Drosophila melanogaster: one gene and its partners. The protein of the gene in region 1 interacts with the protein of each later gene in a pairwise test. Each region holds a gene or a part of one and is shown in the gene's direction. Other genes may lie near its edges.

What was found. Proteins that work in one complex are often made in the same cells at the same time.
Region 2: the proteins of CG15167 (region 1) and AdamTS-A interact in a two-hybrid assay, tested with the Drosophila melanogaster proteins (one large-scale study listed by BioGRID).
Region 3: the proteins of CG15167 (region 1) and CG15576 interact in a two-hybrid assay, tested with the Drosophila melanogaster proteins (one large-scale study listed by BioGRID).

The regions. Positions count from the first base shown.
Region 1 is NT_033779.5:18,738,228-18,742,113, forward strand, and holds CG15167 (uncharacterized protein), read left to right. Parts: upstream 1-2,130; 5' UTR 2,131-2,182; coding exon 2,183-2,533; 3' UTR 2,534-2,580; downstream 2,581-3,886. Other genes in the region: CG42752 (uncharacterized protein), read right to left, coding at 1,291-1,779.
Region 2 is NT_033777.3:15,472,719-15,478,556, reverse strand, and holds the start of AdamTS-A (ADAM metallopeptidase with thrombospondin type 1 motif A), read left to right. Parts: upstream 1-2,363; 5' UTR 2,364-3,268; coding exon 3,269-3,670; intron 3,671-5,838.
Region 3 is NC_004354.4:4,250,895-4,255,252, reverse strand, and holds CG15576 (uncharacterized protein), read left to right. Parts: upstream 1-2,462; 5' UTR 2,463-2,614; coding exon 2,615-2,986; 3' UTR 2,987-3,383; downstream 3,384-4,358.

The DNA.
Region 1 (3,886 bases):
TACATCTTGTGGTCCCATACGATTCCACAACTCACCTCTGACGATCCACTGTTCAATTGCTTTCCCAACGATCCATCTTTACCCATGTCACCGATTTGCCGATCCCCCACAACCGTCCACTGGAAGATTAACCAAAGCGAGGAGCGCGACAAAAAAAGAAATAGAAATCTGATATATTTGTCTAACATCTTCGGCATTAAGCTCACCCCCAGCTCAAAAACGCGAGATTTCCGCATTAGAAACGATTTTTTAATTATTATTTTCAGACGCCTACACGCAAAACCGAAACCCGATGGCTTCGAGTGGATGCTCTGCTCAAATGTCAGGCTTATTAATACAACAGCACCAACAGATCTCTTCAAGCTTCAAGTGCTGGGGATTTGTGGCCGGGGTACGAGATGCGAGATGTGAGATCCGAGATCGAGTTGAGGACGCTGTGCATCTTTATGTGGGAGTGCGGGCTCCATTGATGACACGTCATTTGCTGGCATAGACATCTTCGTCAAATGTGTTAAGTTGCGCTAAGAGGGAAAATGAAAACAGGTCTTCCAGTTCAACGGCAAGAGTGTCAGTAAAATGTCATGGAAAGCCACTTAGCTGGGAGTTTTTGATTTTCGATTTTTTTTCTGTACATTTTCTGAATCGGATTCGCAGCGTCCCCACATCCGCTTTTGGAGGAAAATAAATGCACGTGAAACAAGCAATCCGAAAAGGTAGCTAGCTATCAAACATTTGTCAATTTTCCTGCCCGGAGGTTGGTATTTGGTATTTGGTTTTTGGTGCGATTGGTTCTAGCTCGCGGGCAATGCTCAATTACGGTTTTGATTTAAATCAGTCTACTGACCCCAAAAGTTCAGCTACGGAAATTGCAAATTTAATAATTGACTGGCTCAGAAAACTGTAAAACCCAAACCAGGGGGCTTATTAATGCGATAACCTTGGCTGATTTAATTTCTGCCGTCTATTCGCCGGGCCTGTGATTATCCAGCGAACAAGAAAACCAAACCAAGCCAAAACAAAAACAAAAACAAAAAAAAAATACAAACAGCGACTTCCATAACAACAAAAGGAAAATCAAAACTTGCACAATTTCGACACTAAACGGCGATGTCTGGGCCACTCTTCGAGTGCCTCCGAGCTGCCAGTTAGTCGCATATTTAATTAAGAGATTGAGTGCCGCAAATAGTGTTGAACAATGGCCAGCACGAGTCGCATCCACACTGCGAGAAATCACTGCGACTAAAGAGAATCGGGAATTGTGCTGGCATAGTCTTAGCTATATATTGTCCATTAACAATTGACGAAATATTTTAAGTTAAAGAAGTCGGAATATTTTGCGAACAAGGCTTTAGTTGCCTCGGTTTCCTCTTCCGGTTCCGGTTTTTGATTCTTGAACCTCAGAAAGCAGTCCTCGTATATATCTCCCAGAAACTTGGCGCCCTTAGGAACTCTATCCTTAATATTAAATTTCTCTTTGTTCGGATTGAAGCATAACTCGTAGGCTGAAAAAGTGACTCGTTGGTTAAAGGGTTCTGGAATGCAAAACCTCAGAAGGTAGGGCTTTATCCGGTTTAAATCTTTCCGCTTGCCATCCATCACTCCAAATGCTTGTTTGCCCCCGTGGGTGAATACTATGTATCCGGTTATATGGTTTTTGTGGCAATATTGAAGAATTCGACGCGGAAATTGGTTCCTTGACATTATGTTGTACAACTTAAACTCGGTCCTAAGTTGAATATCCTCATTGAACATCCAATCGTAGGACCCTAATAATGTCATTTCTTGTTTAGTTTTGCTGAAAGATATGCAAATAACTTAGGGCTATAATTTTGGATTGTACTGAGTGTTAAGCTAAATTTACTGGCGTGTAGGTTTGTTTTTAAACTAAATTGATTAAACTGATGACTTACGCAAAGCATAATTATTAATTGACATTTTGTTTTAAAATACGTTTCCTGATAGTTTATAAAAATACTTTTTACGAAAATCTATATAAATATAAAAGTATAGCATTTTTAAAGATTCAGAATTTGTTTTAAATGCTTACCTTTGGATGGATCAGTGATGTTTACTCCACGCAAATTTTTCGATTATATATCATCAGCAGAGTAACTTAGGAAATCTGGATCATTTATTTTCAAAAGCCGTGAAAACTCACATACTCAAATTTCCATTCCCAAAAATGTCGCTGGAACTGGTACTCCAACCGCAGCCAGAGATCTACCTATTAGCGTATGAAATGAGTGTGCCCGAAGATTCCGATGAGGCCCTGCTTTCAGTTGTGGCCCACAAAGCCGCAGAACTTAAGGTGTGTGGCTACATCGCGCATACGCACTGTGGCCGCAAAGTGGGCGGCGAACTGGAGGGCAGCTCTGCTGGCCTGCAGATGATGGTCGAGTGGATGCAGGCTAGGAGCCAGGGGAATCATCTCGGGGACGGGGAGAAGATCAAAAGCCAGATGAAGGAGCCACGATTCTCGAAGTGGAAGCTGCAATCAGGGGCCCCCAAATACGATGTTTTCTTCTGTTGCTGAGTGCTGACGAGAGGAGTTGATTAAAAATCGCAAATTGCATTGGCCCCAGAATATTGTTTCGAGTGCATTTTCATCTCATAAACCATAACAATCAGTGTCGGCCGCTGCTGCTGCTGCTGCTGCTGCTGTTGCTGATGTTGCCGCTGCTGCAGTTGGGCCATTGAACAATAGCCCGGCTGACTCGAAGCTGACTTTTCAAAGTCAAAAACGCGATTGTATCATCAGTATTTTTCGGGGCGCGCTCCCTGCCTCTGCCTTTGCCTCTGCCCCTGATTTTTCGTTTTTTTTTTGTCTAACCATTTTCAGATTTTTCCGCTCGGCGCTGGCAGATAAAGTAGAGGAGCCCGAGTTGCGGCGAAAAACAATCGAATCAATTCATTTTTCTAGGGCGTACTGTGCCACTTGAACGTTGAACTGCAGACGCCCCAATGCTGACTACCGCTGAGGTTTCGCTTTTGGGCTTTCCATCTCCTCCGGAGTTGCCATTGTCTGCTATCAAGACGGCAGCACGGTCTTGATCGTGCCCCGGCACTAGTCATTTTAATTTTTCAAGATTTTCCGAGCTCGGCGCTGCGCGCTGTGCTGTGCTTCTGCGCATTTCGCAATCTGAACTCTATAAATCTCTCGTGCCGGTGTGTTAGATTTATGGGTTATGGGCCAAATGGGAGCGGGCCAAGCCAAATGTTCTACGGACGGCACAGAAATCGGCGATCCGGGCGATTCAATTAGATCTAAACGCTGTCAACATCCCGGCACTAATAAGCAGCAACATTTCGGGCGAGGGGTGGCCACAGCCCGAAAAAAGTGTAAATAAAACCAAGAGTGTCGTCTGGCCTGTGTCTGTGGCATAATGTTGCATAATATTTTATGCATGCAGAGCTGGCAGATTGCAACATGTTGCCATGTTGCAGCTCCAACTTCGACGCCGGCCCCGGCCGATGATGATGATGATGATGCATAGCCCCAAGAATCGCTGAGACAGCCAAGCGCGCTGTGGCGCCCCTCCCTGAATCTCAATCTGAATCTGAGTCTGGAAATCCTGCAAACCTTCGCGACTTCCAGCTGTGTGTGCCCGGGCTCAAAGTGTGTCGAATATTCAAGTGAAAATTCCGCCCCAGCCCCCAAAGACCCGCTGCGATGCATCGCGGAGTCCTCCAGAGTGCGGCGCTTCGATGACGTTGAGCTGGGATTTGAATTTCGGATTCGACCATGTGTTGGTTGGTGTCTCTCTGCCCATGCAGGCATGCCCATACATCGACACGGAGAGAAATCATAATCTGCACAATCATGATGTATTTAATTGTATATTAGAAACTTTAAAAACTGTAAATATTATAATACTTATTCTGTTCG
Region 2 (5,838 bases), on another chromosome or scaffold:
ACCAGCTCACGCATTAGACATGCTCACCCATTATTATACATACATACGGACAGACATACGGACAGACGCAATTGACTAAGAGGCCTGCGCGTGTTGGACGCACGGACGGATAAACAGACAGTCAGTCTGACATCGAACATCTGAAGACTTCGAATTCGATAGTGATCCGTAGTCTAGGGCTCTTCACAGCCTCTCGCTTATTGATCTTCGATCCACACGAAGGCCGCCAGCGTGCAGATCGAAGTTGCACAAATGCCAGGACAAGGGGTCTGGATTGGGTATCCACCTGAAAGTGATTCTCTATCCAAATCCAAGTTGGGGCCAGTCCATCTATGCTGTTGCCATATAAGCATCAACAGCTAAACAAAAGTTTATGGCTATCTGCCCGCCTTATGATCTAAATGCGTTAATTATTAGGATGATACAATGCGATCGGAGCAGATAGCATAGATACAAAAATGGATAGACAGATAGATACATTGTGGTCAGCGGTCTCCAGTGGCTCGATCATTAGCATCTGAAAACCAGCGGCGCCTCTTTGAGCAATATTTCCTAATTTAGAACGTATGCTTTCCTACAGATCAGTATGCGATTTGCTAGACTGAGCAATTTATTAGTGACTTGGGGAGAGACTCCAGCTAGGAGTCGTTTATTTTGTTTAGTGGCTGTGTAAACATTGCTTACAGGGCATGATGATTAGTTCGGTGTAATACAAACAGCCTTCTTGGGGAACTCACTTGCCCCCTCCAGACTTTTAGGGCTATTTTGTAAGATGTTCTGTTATGGCTGCTGTTTTATGTTGGCATCATTTGGATGCCGGCTGTTTGTTGTTGATTACAAAACAAGCGTTTTGTTGCCGATTGCATGGTTGCATGGAGAACGCTCTTCCTGGAATCTTTTGAGATGTTTTTCATTAGTCCACCATTCTCGCAACATCCGTAGTATATGAATATGCATCATCGTATTTTGGAATATTTTTAAATTTTCGCCGACCTCCACGGCGGCGAAATGGATTTTTAATTTCCAACTATACTTTAATTTGGCAAACGAGCTCTGGTCTTTTAATTGATTAATTCTTATTGCTGCGTTTGATTAAAGAAAATATTTAGTATACAATAGGGTCAATTGCTACATATGGTAATTTGGCACAGAAGACATTTATGTGGAAGAGTTCTCGGCGTTCAAATAATGGAGCGAATGGCTACTATTTTTATTCACTGACGCGATCAGTAGATTGATCTTGACCCACATTGGATGGGCTGGGATCCGGCAGATGTCGCACACTCTATGCCCAAATGAGACAATATAAAGTATAAAGTATAAAGTATTGTTTATAATGATACCAATTTGAGACAAATCAGTTACACTTGCCTATCTAAACTATTACGATATGTTTGTTCAGCTTGTGTAGATTATTTAGATATATCTTTATATTTGTCGCATTTCTGAGTAAAGGCTGTCGTGTCAGTTTATTTACGTCAAAAAAAGAATTTTTTTTGATACTGATGAGCTAGTCATCATTGTACCATTCTCTGTGATCATCAACTTCCTTTTTTTCTTCCGAAATGACTTCTTCCGGAAGTGCACCACTGGTAATGCCCAGGGTCTTATCCTCTATTTCAAAAGAATTCGTATTCAAAGTTTTTAGTACTGCTCGGTGCGATTAGTAATGCATAGGCTAGTAAAATAAGTCATAAGTAAAAAGAGTTTTATTATTTACTCAAGTACATACTTACTCAAATTGGTTGGTATCACACAAGTGTGAACATGTTTACAAATTTTGATTACTTTTAAAAACTATTACTGAATAAAGCATGCAGCATAAGCCTATTTTTTTTTTTTTTAATATTTATATTATTTCATCCGAAAAGGCAGATACTCTAGATGCAAAGATTGTTACTATGCTAACACACCTTATCTTATCCGATGATAATTATGTCCACACACTTAATCCTCACATGTGCAAAAATATTGAGTAAGCAGAGGCGCACTTAAGAGAGCGTTCGAGTGCTCTTTTAAGCCGCGCTCGGCTCTCTTTTCGCCACAGCGCTCTCTGCGCAGAGAAGCCGGCTGTTCTGCGTACTGATATGATTCTGACGTATTTCTAATCTCTCTAAAACACTCCTTCGGAATCGAAATCCTAAGCCCATTCAGCAAACCCATATCCCTATACTCGTGCCTACATACGAGTATGTACATACATATGTACATATGTATGTATGTATGTTGTACAGCATATAGCTGCGAGAGAACCGCTTTTAGCTTTCGGAGCGATATATGTTCGCGATCTCAGATTGCTTGGCGGTACGGCGGAACGTCCGCTACCAACTGCTGTTCGGCGAGCAGTGTTCAGTCCGCAGCGGGAACTCAAGCGAGCCGAAACGAAACATCGCCAGATACAGATACAAATTCTCTGGTTCGCAGCATTGGTCTGGTCCATCGGCTCGTTCTCGTCCGTTTCATTTATTTGCGCGCGCGCGGTAGTATCAGACAATTGCTAAAGTTCCATTTGTAATATTAATCCAGTTGCGATTTCTAATTCGAATTTGAATACGTATTCATCCCAGTGCGCCAGTGTATTCCGTATCCTGACCAGCCATGTCGGCCAGATGGCGATAGCGATGCCGATGCCAAACGATCGGCGTGTTCTTGTGAACTCTGACATGGTGCTCAGTTGTGGGACAACCTTCGCCACCGAAAAGTTTGCAAAAATAGCCGCTGGCCGAAAGCGAAAAGAAAGCCAGCAACTCAGAATGCCAACGGTGGCCAAGTTAATGGTGCAGCTCGAAAGTGAATGCATTCGGCGCGATGTGTGAAGTTCAAGCTTAACATTGGCCAAAACCCAACCGCAACTGCGAATAAATTCTGTGATTCGGCAAAAAGATTCATCATGAGATCGTACAATGGCTCCAGTACTAAGTAGTTTATCTAGCTAATCGCAGCCATAAGTGTGAGTCGTTTTAATACCCACGAGCCGTAGTCTTTGCCTTTCTGTTCGTTCGTATTTTCGCATTTTTTGGCGGGTGCGGTGCCCACGGCAACGGAACGAGACTGTCGCATTTCAATTAACAAAATAAGCAAAAAGCCAAAGAGCCAAAGAGCCATAGAGCCAACATAAGTGTAAAGATACATATATCTACAAGATATACGTATAGCCGTATATACGCATACTGTGGATTTTGTTGCTCTTTCGCGCGCATTTTTGCACGTGCCATTTGGGATTTCGGATTTCTGAGATTGGAGATCGCTATCTTATCTGGTCATCGCCATGTCCATGCCGGATGCCGGTTCACTTAAATCGCCCGCCGGCGGCCAGGAGGTCGAGTGCCATCGCCTGCTGTCGGACCTGCCCGCCTTCGCGTATCCCAGCACCACACTGCGGTCCACAACTTCTGGTCACAGCACTGGCACGAATAGTACCACTGTCTGCGAATCTCCCGGTGCTCGGGATCGTACCTCCTTCGCGTGCTCCTCCTCTTGCGTATCATCCGCCTGCTCAGCCACCGCCTCCGATGACGACGAGGATGAGCGTGCCCTTGAGCGCTGTCTGCGTGGGACGACGGACGACCTTGGGGAGTCCGGCCTGCGGTATTCGCTGAAAGGACCACCGCCGGAGCTCTACTCGGCCAAGAAGGACTTCATCAGCAAGGGTCCGCTGCTGGGCAGACAGGTAGGTCCTAAATCCGAGCTCTACATAAGTATAAATATTTTTGGAGGCCTAGTCCGCCGCATCGAATTTCGTGGGCTGATCGAATTCGCAGACCGGGATTTTAACGATTTTTCATTTATTTGTGTTTGTATTCGTCTCTGTCTCTCTCTCTCTTTTTTTTCTACTTTATCGAAATCGGCTGGCCAAGCGAAAACCAAATTTAAGTTAATTTATTGCATTGATTCCACATCAATGTGTCGAGTTCTTTCCTTTCTTTTATAATTTCGGTTGATTTGCCGATATTTTGGTGTGCTCGTCTCGTTTTGTATGCCGCATTGTTTTATTTCGTTTCATTTCATTTCATTTCATTTTTTTTTTTGTTTTGTTGCTTTTGCCGCCACTCTGGCTCTCTATTCGATTTTGATTAAATACCACTGGCGACACAAAGAAAGCGACAACCAAAGCGTTGACCACCGCATTTGAATTCACACGCCTCACTGGCCACGAAGCACCGCGCACGCGGCAGCGGAAATGTGAATCTGGATCCCAAGTTGGATCCACGATAGGATTCTCGGCAACCTCACCGTTCGACAGCTTCAAACAGACTGAAGATGGCAACGTGTTCGAAGCACTTCGATCCAAATGCGCCAGAGCGCCTCCACGAAGTGCATTCATATATCAAGCAATCTGGTCATCAAACTATTCCTTTTGGTTTGGGTTTGCAGCTCCCACTTCTTTAGCTGACTCATAATCCATCCATTTGCGTCACACAGGGTCTGCTGATGTATGTCGGACGTGTGTTTCCGCCAGGTTGCCACTATCTTGCTCTAGCTCTGCAGCAACAATTTTCGGGAAAGCGAAAGATTCTGCAGCATCGGGAGCACATGTCCCACAGGAGATAAGAACATAAAAGATATCTAATAGAGATAAAGAACAAAGACGCCCCTGTCTGGATGTCACTGATATTCCATATTCCAGACAGGATTGGGTACGAACTTTTTTTTGCCCATTAGTGCGAGGCAGACGACGAATTAAGATGCAAATTTCGATAAACATTTTCAAGTTCGGTTTAAGGAAATGGTATTGCAGTTACACACGACCTGGGTGGAAACAGCACATAACTACGATTTACAGAGCTCAACAAGGTGTGAAAAGCGTTTGTTTCGGGACGTGACAACAACGTGAATGGAAACATGCCTAAATCACGGCTTACTGGCTAACTGGCAAGCTGGCTAACTGGCTAACTGGCTAGCTGGCTTACAGGCCATTAGAATTTTATCAACGTCCGCCTGGCGGGCAATGTAAAATGTGAAAAACGACACGATCCCCCGGTCCATGAATACATAATAATGCATAATAATGTTGGGTGCGCGAGTGGTGAAGTCTGTAGGCCCAACTGCCACTGATAACGGGCCATGTGTGGCAACGTAACCCCCTCGGGATCGAATGGGAATAGGATGTACTGTCTATTTGGGTTGTATGTATAAACTCGTATGCACATCGCTTGGCATTTTAGAAGCACATGAGTAATTGTGACATATTCAGTGCGGTGCGACTCGATTCACTCGCTGTTGTGAATGTTTCGAAAATAGATTTTCTAGTTTTTCGCGTGGCGCCTAGAATCTGAGAAGTCGGGAAATACATGCATGTAAGTAAGGCTGCGCCGTCCAATTTGTATTTCGACAATAAAATTTTCACAATGTGTAGAATTTGAATATTTATTTTCTTGCTTTTTGTTTCTGTTTCGCGTTTTGTCTTTTTTTTTTATTTATTTATTTAGTTTTTTTTTTTGAGTCGTACGTCGTCGCTTTGCGCGTGTTTCTCTGTTCTCTTTTTTCAATTTATTTCGTCTACTTTAAATAAAAACAAAAAAATATGCTAGTTTCGGAAAACCGAAACTTATACACCCTTGCAGTAATTATTTGCAGAGTTTGAACAAATTAAAATCGAATGTCAAATCACAAATTTGGTGTGTACCGAATTAGAACGCATTATGATTAAAAAACAACTAAGCTGGGATTAGTTTTTCATTGATTTGCTAGACATTTTATATGATATGATAAGGTTGTCCGTTTCTGATCAAAAGCGAAAGGCTGTAGATTGTCTTCTTTACTGCGTTGCAAATTCCTGACTGAAAGCAATATACCCTTAGCAAGGGTATAACGATGAAAATTTGAAGAGTTCAGTGA
Region 3 (4,358 bases), on another chromosome or scaffold:
AGCCCATTTCATTGGCATATTTATTTTTTTCCCATTGGCCGGGACCATTTTTAGGCATTTTCCGACAGTTTGGCGCTGTCCACATAGATTTTTTTTCGCTACTGTTCTTTTGTTTTTTTTTGTTTGACCAAAAAAAGTTGCCCCAAAAGTTTGTTTTTTTTTTTTTCGTAGGATTTACCCCATTCTTTTTAAGCCTTCGTTAACAATTCCCTCGGCTTTCGATGCGAGTTTTTATTTCTGCGAAGAGTCCCTGAAAAGTTGGCATCATGTGGCCGCTGCTCTGATTGTTTCCAGACCTCCATTGAAACTGTTGTCATTATTATTTTTTAAAGATATTATGGGGCTTTTGTGGCACTCTGAGAGGGGTAAACAATGGTATTGGAATCAGGTAGTCGATTGTTAACGGGGATCCTTTCAGACACTGGTAAACCCTTGCTTTTTATTGCAATTTGTTGATGCCAGTTCGTGAATGAATATGCAACATATTATCATTGAAATAAAGTAAATAAAGTAATATAAACAAATTTTTTTGTTTTACCTCCTCTATAACTTTCACAATATTCTATCCAAAGTTAGCTCCCCCAAAGCCCCAAAATTAGCAACCCTAATAGGACTTACCCCATGCAATTATCTATCTTATCGTGACTCATCGGGCAGATTAGTGAGGAAGTTGTCATGGGGTCTCTCGGCAACAGGCAAAACTCCAACCATGAGTTGGCCACGACATTCTCGTCCTCCAGAGTGGGGATTCTCGCAGCTGTTGCATTCTGGGCCTAAACTGTGCGTCTACTCAACCACAAAACACACAAGTTCCACTCGGCGAAATCCTGCGATGAGGAGATGAGGAGGTGCCAATATATGGAGCTGCCACAAGGGGCATAGTGGAAGGGCGCCCCGAAAACTCGCAAAAGTTTGCTCCAAAGTCCAACATATGTTGCCTGTTCATGCATGCCCTCGTACTCCCCCTCTCTCCACGTCTCCCCTTCCAAATTCCTTGCCCTGCAGTCACTAAGTTAGTCATACAAATGGAGAAAATAGATGACAGAACCATGTTAAAATAATGGTATGAAATAGAGGTTGTAAAATCGCAAAAAAATCGATTCAAACATAGTTAAATCATTGATGAAATCTTATGATATTTAAACATAGACAATTTTCATTAATAACGAAGTCGCTTTTATTTCTTTAAGTGCACGACTTTCATACACATACGGCCATCCAGCACGTGTGCCAGTGTGTGTGTGCCAGTGTGTAATTATAACAAGTTTTCTAGGCAATTTTTCTGTTTTCCTTCTCGTTTTTCGCCCCAGAATCTCGCTAGTTCCCCCGTTCTTTTATTTTATTTTATTTTTTTGGGAACGCTTCTGTTGGGTATCTGAAGAGCAAGAAGTAAGTTTCTGATAAGAAAGTTATGATGAGTTTTCTTCACTCACACAGCGAGCAGAAGATGGCAGCACATGTACACACAGCTGTTGATTTTGGCCAAATTAGTGCAAACACGTCTTGTTTTGAGTTGTGGCCCATGTGGAACATGTGCAACTAATTTGCAGTTATCAAGAGTTCTGCCTTCGACGGGGTTGAACGGATGAGCTCGTGGTCAGATGTCTGTATCTAATCCATCTGTTGGGGCATTGATTTTGGCATCCCAGATACATGCCACCAAACCCAATCCACCCACCATTGTTAACAAATTTCCATTTCCGGTGGTGGCCACAAAAAGCGAAAGGTGTGCGGATGGGCTTTTTCGGGCGGAGTTGGAGCTCGGAAAACCCCGCTGGCCTGTCTGCCGACTGTCAAAAGTTTATTTATTTGACACCGAAAAAGTTGACACAGACACCAGGCCGGGGGCGTGACTTTGTGCCTGAATCGGATTTATATGCCTGGCCAAAATTGGATTACAATTGAGTTGTAATTATGCGACAACAAAACGTTGCGTTCGAGGGGATGCGGATCCTTTTTGGGGTCCTTTGGAGCTCACCGCCTCTGTGTTCTGTTTTCCATGTTGTCGGCAATTTGAGCCAAGCGCTTGCTCAACGACGTCTTTTGAAATTTCGCATTTTGCATTAATTAAAACTGATTTAATTAAAGCTTGTCGTGTTGCTTTTAAGTACTTCAGGAACCAGGATGAGAGTAACAGGTCCTCGAGCTAGGACATCCACTAGCGCATCCAATCCACCCCATGAAAATGATTGAAGCGAGAGACCAAAGTGTTCTGGACTTGTCTCCTGTCGCCCTCGCCAAAGATTCTTTGTCGTCTTTGAGTAGGTGAAAGTTTAATTAAATATGCATCGAGCGTACACAAGTATGTGTACTTGTGGGCCACATAGATCGCATAGATATTTCACCGGAAGTCCCCCAGTCGGATTATGTCGGAATTAGTTATCCAAATTTTTTGGTTATCTCTTATCTCTTGTACAATATTTCACATAATACCATTCCACAATTCAGCTTTATTTGTCTTGTCACATATTTCAGATGCTCAGGTCTCATTGAGATTTCTATCAATCGGTATTGTGTGCTACCGTGTCAGAAAAATATTAGTTATTCGAAATCCCCAACAGCAGCAGAACGTTTCGATCGAAATTTCAGTAAGAACAGCTTTAAAATATTCAAAATGAATCCATTTAGGCCAAATCCAGGTCAGAGTTTTCGCATTCGCTTGAATATGGATCGCGTGCCGGGCGAAGAAGAGCGCAATATACAGCCATCGACTGATGAACGTCGAATCACCCAAATTCCACCGATTCAATTGCGCATCGATCATCAGCGGGATGTGAATCGTTTCATGATCAATATGCGTGTAATGCTACATCGACGGAGGACGGAATTAAATATGGGAGGCGGCGATAGTATCGGCGTGTGGAACTGGAGGGAGCCTCCGATGCCAAGCGGTTTGATTGGCGAGGGCGATTGTGATGGCGGTGGCTATGGTAATTACGCTGGTGACTATCATCCACCATTGCGGGGACTGCCACCAAACCCCTAGGATCTGTACCTTCTCTTACCACACTTGCCATCACTGTCTTTTGCCTCTCCCCTTCCTGTGCGTGTGTGATGTCCTTTTTTTCATTTCTGAGCGTCGTCCGCAAAAAAGAAGAAAAATGTCATCATCAGCTAAAAGGCCCGAAACCCCAAACACAATCCACTACCACTTCCATTCTCATTGCCACCTGAACCAGTAACCCTTGGAGAAGAACGGACCCTGTTCGGACGCATGTTGTTCTATTATTATATCCCCGTTGAGTTCTGGGTTGATGATTTTTCCATCTCCCCAAGAAAATTGATGGGCTTTGGAATTGGAGGACATGCCGAGCCCCGGACGCATATAATAATTTCCTGTTCAATGAGCAATTATCGTAATAAAGATACAATTCCGCTACTCTATATTATATTCGGATACGGGGATGACAATGGTGGTCAGTGGGCAACGATGGTGGCCAAGAGGGGAACAAGCGCACTGACGACAACGATGATGATGATGACTGGTCTCTTCCGCACTGATGTGATGGATTGAGCCCCAGCTCAAGTCTGATTCCTGTCTGTCATGTCACTTTTTCCATGGGGTTAATGGGGGCGTGACAAACATACGGGAAAAGCGCACGGAAAGTTGATTGAACTGCACTAGTTAACTATTCCCCGAAATGACTAGCATGCCATTTCAATTCTAGATGAATTTGACCCCAATATAAGCACTTCATTTTACTTACTTCATCCTAAAATGAACTTCTCAATGAAAGCTTCTATTTTAATGCATTTATTCTGAAATTCGTACATACATAGATTGTAGACAAATCAGGATGCCAATTGAAACAGATTTTGCCCTCTCAGCTGTGACATTTGCATAATCAAAGAAAATTTCGAGCGCAGCCATAGGAACTTTAGTGGGTGTTTGACTTTCATTATAGCCTTCTAGCAGCTTTAGGACTTCCCAATCACTGAGACCAACTGGCAGGGACTCGAGAGTATCAATTCGGGTAGATAGATGCCGTCCTTTATTCTATTTATTCTGGTTTTTTTTTTCCCCCTGCCATTAGCAGGCGACGTCAAGCTGTCAGACGAAGTTCGTAGCCTTTTTCTATGGGGTTTCATTTGGGATGGTCTTTGTTTTGCTTATCGAGAGAACATTTTATTGCTTTATGCGTTTAATGAAGTGTTGCTGGATCGTCGGAGTCAGGGAGGCACTCAAAAGCCCCGACCCTTGGGACACCCAGACATTCAGACATCCAGACAGCCAACCCTTCGCTTTCACTTTTTGAAACGGGCTCCAAGACAGAAAGCGGGCAGCATACATACATATCAAACATTTCTGACAGTCTATGACGTCTGCCAAAGGAGTGACTGACTCACTGACGGACTGG